Xenopus tropicalis: one gene and its partner. The protein of the gene in region 1 purifies or fractionates together with the protein of each later gene. This does not show direct contact. Links are inferred from orthologs where the notes say so. Each region holds a gene or a part of one and is shown in the gene's direction. Other genes may lie near its edges. The genes, in order: pkmyt1 and cyclin B5.

Evidence for each region.
Region 2: the proteins of pkmyt1 (region 1) and cyclin B5 purify together in Homo sapiens (affinity purification with mass spectrometry; 4 studies listed by BioGRID and IntAct, with this or other methods). This does not show direct contact. The link is inferred for Xenopus tropicalis from reciprocal best matches to the Homo sapiens genes PKMYT1 and CCNB2.

Annotation. Positions count from the first base shown.
Region 1 is NC_030685.2:12,691,587-12,694,231, reverse strand, and holds the end of pkmyt1 (membrane-associated tyrosine- and threonine-specific cdc2-inhibitory kinase), read left to right. Parts: intron 1-794; coding exon 795-881; intron 882-1,409; coding exon 1,410-1,590; 3' UTR 1,591-1,980; downstream 1,981-2,645. UniProt on the Homo sapiens protein: Acts as a negative regulator of entry into mitosis (G2 to M transition) by phosphorylation of the CDK1 kinase specifically when CDK1 is complexed to cyclins. Mediates phosphorylation of CDK1 predominantly on 'Thr-14'. Also involved in Golgi fragmentation.
Region 2 is NC_030679.2:99,201,968-99,206,395, forward strand, and holds the start of cyclin B5, read left to right. Parts: upstream 1-1,561; 5' UTR 1,562-1,576; coding exon 1,577-1,597; intron 1,598-4,076; coding exon 4,077-4,208; intron 4,209-4,281; coding exon 4,282-4,374; intron 4,375-4,428. UniProt on the Homo sapiens protein: Essential for the control of the cell cycle at the G2/M (mitosis) transition.

The DNA of each region.
Region 1 (2,645 bases):
AAAGCTATTATAGTCAAATTTTGTCTTTACACAATTTTAATGCACCTATAATATGGTAACACATTTAGACTGGAGCACCTACTCCATATGGTGGAATGCATAAAACCCAAAAAGCCCACTTTTTTTGGTGGTTATATAAAAAACTTGTGGTTTTGTCTTTAAAAACTAGCAGGTCTACAGTAGGTTAGCGACACACTCAACATTTTCTCCGCTAGTTGAGAAAAGGTAGATCTGCTACCTTCCTTGAAACTATGCATGTTTGTGCAGAAATCTGCAAGCCATTTTAGCCAGCTTGGTCTGCCCAAATAATACTGATATCATTAGAGGCCAAATGGAAATGTGATCCTTGATCACCTGTTGTTGTTTATCTGGTTAGAGCAGTGGTGGGCAAACTTATTAGTCAACTGAGCCAAATATCAACAAAACAGCGATTGAAATTTCTTTTGAGAGGCAAATTTTTTGCAGTCACTGGCTCACTCGTGCATGTAACGAGCGAGCCTCCCCTGCACTGCGTATCCTGCCCCCCGCCTGTGCCGCATCTCCCGTAGCCCAAAGACCGCCCCATCCTTCTGATTTTTGCTATGGGCAACGAAAATGAGATCACACTGTATGTGCGAGCCCGCACCTGGAAGAGCCAAATTCAAGGGGCTCAAGAGCCACAGTTTGCCCACCACTGGGTTAGAGCCCCAGTTTGCTAAATAGCCTGAGTTATGAAATACTTTTAAAACAGAATTTGTAGAGGAAATTTATGAATAGTGATCTCAAATCAATGCCTTTTTTTCTCCTAACATAAGACATTCCCCAGACCTGCTCTCAAGACCATCACTTGGAAGCACCTCTACCCCTCGGAATTTGTCTCCTGAATTCAGCATGAGAAAGAGGTAAGTCACAGAGATCCATCACATTTACGGGCTGTGACACACGGGAGATTAGTCACTACATGACAAATCTCCCCGAAATGCCATCCCACCGGCTACAATTTAAATCGTCGGTGGGATGGCATATGCTGCACTGCGATTTGCCGAAGTTTCCACTCAAGGCAACTTTGGCAACTTCGTCAAATCGCGGCGCTGCATATGCCATCCCACCGGCAATTTACTTTCTAGCCGGTGAGATAGCATTTCGGGGAAATTACTGTAGTTGCCTACGACAAGAAAGATTTGTCGCGCAGCGGCTAATCTCCCCGTGTGTCACAGCCCTAAAACTTCATAGTAAACATTGTGGTGCCAGAGTAACATTTGTATTACGCTTTGGTACCCACATAATTTGTTCACTCCAAAAAAACAAGTTTTCAGCCACTGCTGATGAAAATGACCATAGTGAGTATGTATGAAGGTGATGGGAACCTGGGGGCAGAGACTGATATCAAGTATGTAGAATAAATAAAGGATAATAATCTCTATTTCTAGGTCTGCTTTGCCTCTAACTCCTAATGTCAGCCGGATTAGTCAGGAGTCTTCAGGCAGTGTGAAGTCTACTAGCCCCTCCACCAGTCATAGTTCCTCTGGATTTGTCGATGCCGAGGTCCAACGTTCTTCATTTCTCCCTCGCAATCTGCTCAGCATGTTTGACGATGCCACCGAGCAATGAAAGCGGTGCCCAGTACCACAGCACCAGACTTTTTCTTTCGATCATATATTTGACTCCAACCATTGGCTTTTCTCTGGAGAAAGAAGCTGAGATGTCTACCAAATACTGGATGTATTGAGACAGGGGCTCTTTGCTACACTGCACATTTAGCTATGAAAATGACACCGGATCTCTGCATTTTAGCAAAAAAAAAAGTTTCTTTATAAAAAAATGACTTGATTGCAGGTTTACAAACTGAAAGAGTAATAAGTTGTTCATGATTTTGCCATGATTACTGCTGTTTTCCAGTTCTTGTTGCAATATGTACAAAGTGATATATTTTGGTCCTTCACAAAATCATTTTGGTTTCACTAAAAAGTTGAAAGGAACATAAATATCTTGTATATGTAAGGGCTGTGCTTGACAAGTTTGTCTTCCTTTTCCTTATTATCGATCCTGTAAGATTTTCCAGCGGCAGGGATCGTCTATGCAACTGACAACCGGGAGAAGCCCAGTAATAATAGAGAAGCATTGAACTCATGTACTAAATAGGAAACTGCAGAGGCATGAATTTTCACATAGAGGCTATTGTACTTTCAAGATGATTGAATAGGTCATAGCTATAGCTTTATCCTTTGGTTTTATTTGTATTTTCAGTTCTAGGTGTAAAAATCACACCAGGGGTGTAATATAGATTTTTTAGTTACAATAACTAGGGATGCACAGAATCCAGGATTCTGCCTTTTTTGACAGGGTTCAGATTCGGCCGAATCCACAGTCCTACCTACAGTAGAAATAACCTCGCACTATGGCTTCCTAGGGTGCACTTGAATGTAGTAGGAAACTAGTTTGGATAGTAAGAAAGGCACACACTTAATCAAGGCACACCATCTAATGGAATAAAATAACTATACTTTATTAATTTATTTCTAAAAGATTATTAAAACCATATACAAGGGGAATAGGAAAAGTTAAAAGAAAGAATTTCCTATGTTTGTTGGAATTATAACTGTTTCACTATTTATATTGCAACATTGTAACAGTGTCGCAATTGGAAATTTTAAACTGTGATTGTT
Region 2 (4,428 bases), on another chromosome or scaffold:
GCTATGGCTGACAGCAATGTTTTCTATATCTGTAACCTTGGCATGAGCTGAGGTTAACTAAAAAGCATGAAAAACACAAGGATATAGAATCCAAATGAAAATCTGAATCTGATGTTATGAATAGTAATGAGCGAAATTTTTTGCATTTCGCCATTGCCAGATTTTTTCGCAAACTGAGCAGCAAACAAACAAACAAAAAATTGTGTGCGTCATTTTACGTGTTATGTGAATTTTTGCAAAGTTTCACAAATTTTTGGCAAAGCGAAACAGGACAGATTTACTCATCACTAGTTATGAAACCCGTACCCACTCCATACAGGGCTGGAGTTAGAAAAGGTGCAGTGTCTTGCAAAGACAAATGTACACACACACATGCTCAGTGTGCTCTGGGTTCACCTGTAATAGAAGCTGATGCTACAGGGCTGAATTTTTTTACATTCTTACGCAAATTGCATTGGCTTTGAAGCTGACATGAGTATCTGAATCAATTACTAATCAGCCACGTGTTATAAATCTTATATTCAATATATGAAGTATATATGAATCAGTCCCTAAGCTCAGTAAGTGACAGCAGCACAGAGCATGTGCAGGGAATCAGCAGAAAAAAAGATGGGGAGCTACTGGGGGAATCTTTGGGGGCACAGATCTTCCCTGCTAAAGGCAGGCATACTTCTTTGTTAAGCATTAGTTCTTTGATCTTTAGTTTTGGGGGTGTGGCAAATAGGTATGGGAAAGGATGGGTAGCTGTGGAATAGTATATATATATATATATATATATATATATATATATATATATATATATATAGTAAGCTGATGGGACCAAAACATGTTGTATTCATAATGGAGTCCCACAGTGTTTGCTTAGGAATAATGCAAAATCTTTGCTCATATAAAAAGTCAGTCTATGAGGATAAAACATTCTGTTTTATCCTCATCCCCCCCATTTTAGCCTACACTCTCATACCTGTTCTGTTTTATCCTCATCCCCCCCATTTTAGCCTACACTCTCATACCTCACCCATTCTTATCCACAGCTGCTATCCTGTTATTTTAGAAACATAATTACCTTCCTACTGTGTCAAAGCACAACACTTTATCCATTTGCATACAATCCAGGGCTCATGTTTAACTAGCCAGGGTTATGAAATATGCCCAAAACAGGGCTGTACTGCCTTGCACAATGTGCATTCTGCAAGTCTCCATAATTAAAGGTGAATGTTGGTGTGATACATATGATGGCACTATAAAACCTAGGAAATATACTTAATATGGGGGTTTTGAGTGCATTCTTGCACAAGGCACATTTCACATCTATTATTGTTAAAGGAATTGTTGGCAATTAAAGTAATGCAGTTGTTCTTTTGGGTGGCTTTTAAATGCACTCCAAATGCCTATATGAAGACTGTGCCTTGCTATATATGAAACTGTATTACTGCAAATACTGCAGCAACTGAAGAGTTAAACAGGCATGTATGTAGGACTGTTCCAGCCAATCAGAAACAGGGGATGTTTTCTTAAACTCTGGAAGGCTACAGTGATTAGTAGTGAGTTTTGTGAGAGGTAGGCTGTGGGCAGTATGGCTACTTGGGGTGCTATGGTGAGTATGGATTTGTTCTAATTATTGGCCCATAGGTTGGTGCAAGTAGAATTACTTCTTCTCTGGGTTAAATGGCTGATGGCTAACAAGTTGTTTGCACAATGGATACATTGTGTGAAACCCCTTACAATGCTGCAGATGTTGTAGCCCTAATGTGTCTAGTTCTGGACAATTTTGTTATAGTGTGTAATTTATTGATTATACCAGTTAATGGCATAATTAAATGTGGTTCAAACTACTGTCACTGGAATCTGACATTAAAGGTGGTAAGGGAAAATGCTTTTGTTTCTGGGAATCCTACACTTTGCAGGAACATTTATAGATAGTTTGTGTTTTTGTTAACTAAGGCTTCCATTCATAATACTGCCATGAATAATCCTATATCAGGCCTGTTTAGTATGTGACCAATGGCTAGCCTGACTTCTAGAGCTTATTAGTGGCCTGCACGTTTTTGTATTACTTAGCCATATGATTAGATATTTAGGTATTTATGAAACCCCCTTTAGAACTAAACTACATGGGAGATTTTGTAGGGCGGTGCTGACGGATCATACAAGCTGAATGTTGTTACATGGGTCAACATAAAATGGGACATGTGTAAACTACAGTATATGGAACATCGGTCCTCTGACATTACTCTTGTTCAGAGGGAATGCTGCGTCTGCATATGTTGAGAGAAAATCTGATGGGTCTGACACTCTTCTCATTGAACTACATTGACTGTCAGATGTAATTGCAGGAACAAACCCCATGATCCCATCATCTGACTATCTGATCTGACATTACATTACAACTGTGGGGATCAGATCTCCTGCAGTTGCGTGACAATATTTTGTGGATCATGTTAAATCTGAACCACAAAATCTGATCAAAATCTGCTGTGTAACTTAGTGCTTAATTAAGCTTTCAGCTGGTTCTATATTAGCAACACCTGTTCATCATGCACAGGTCTATAGGTAGATTGGATTCTAGATTGCAACTATGTGCTGATTGGGCTGCTGGTAACATTTGAATGGCCTCCCTACTTCTCGATTATTGCCTATTGTGTGTGTGTGTATGTATATGTGTGTGTGTGTGTGTGTAATAAATATATATATATATATATATATATATATATATATATATATATATATATATTTTAGGAAAACACAGATAAAATGGCTATTTAAATTGCTGCCTTGATGTCTCTTGTTGGTGCTTGAGCCATGCAGTTTGTTTTAATTTATTTGGTCACAGAAAAATGCATTTATCCATTTGGAACATGGGCTTCAATACACAACTACAGCAAATTAGGTAATTTAGCCATGGTCACCTCACCCCTAGCCAATTCATCTCATCCCAGTGTTTATCACAGATGGGTCCCCACCCAAATGGCTTCAAACATATTAAGGTTATGCACAGTAGGGTACAGAGGCTCAATTCTGATGCACTTCATTCTTGCCCCAGGTACAAAATAGTTCAGAGAGGGAGGCCCACAAGGTTGTGAAGGGAAGCTGCTGCAGCACTGAGAAGCATATGATAAGCAGTCTGAGCAGTAGGAGAATTTGGAAGCCCCAGTAAAATGTTGCACCAGGGCCTGTGTGGCTTGAGTTTCTGCTAATGATGCCCACATTCTGCTTGTTCAGAGCCAAGAGCAGTCAAAGGTCTGTCATGGGCCTGAAACTATGTAACTTGATATTCAGTTTAAAGGGAACTTAATGCTCGCTGGCAGTGCACTAATAGAATGTTTGGGGAACTGGGGATATGTATGCTTGCATAAGAAATTTGTTACACGGTGGTCTTAAAAATTGCAACATTGAGCAAGATTATACTTTTTCCTTTATGTCCCTTTTTAATAATGGGCTACAAGGTTTGGGTCATCCCCATGCACTGTTACTTTAGGCCATAGGAGGCATACAATGCAGGTCATAACCTCCCAGGGCAGTGACACACGGGGAGATTAGTCGCGCCGTGACAAATCTCTGTTGTCGCAGGCGTCTAATCTCCCAGCAATGCCATCCCACCGGCTAGAATGTAAATTGCTGATGGGATGAAATTGCGCCACCGCGTATGCCATCCCACCAGCGAGTTACATTTTCACCGGTGGGATGGCATTTCAGGGAGATTAGTCGTCCGTGAACAGGGAGATTTGTCGCGGGCGACTAATCTCCCCGTGTGCCAGAGCCCTTAAAGTGAAGAAAAAAGAAAAGGTAAAGGTTAAATAGCAGATAACAGATAAACTGAGTGGATTCCCATTGTATTCTCTGCTATGTAACCTGTGTTTTTTCTTTTTTCCATGGCTACTTAGTAGCTTATTTATATAGACTATAGTAGGGTTTCTGAGACAAACACACCAGTTTTACCAGTGCAAGGCAACAGTACATTATAGAGCATCCACTGAGGAACTGCACCCAAATAAACTAGAAGTTTAGTGTTGCATATCTGTTATCAAGCAAAATTATTCATTGTATTCTACTTTAATTTTTTTTCTGTTCCACAGCAGTCAGGACAGATGGACAATGCAGTCGTTGGTGGAGTGGTGGCAGCCAAAGCCAAAGTACATGGACATAGAGCCCCGCTAGAAGAAATCAGTAACAGGACTGTAATTCCAGGACGCAAACCTGCAATAATGGTATAAAGACAATGTTTTCTATGACCATACATATGTTATGTTAAGAATTCATTACAATTTTTCTCCTCTGTAGAACTGCAAGGTGGCGGTCAAAGCAGTTAGACAAGTAACCTCCAGAGCAAATGTAGCTTTAAGAATCAAACCAACATGTGGGCCCAGATCTGAGGTAAGTGCTGTTCTTATTTTAGCTCTCCTGTTGAATTACAACTAACAGAATCCA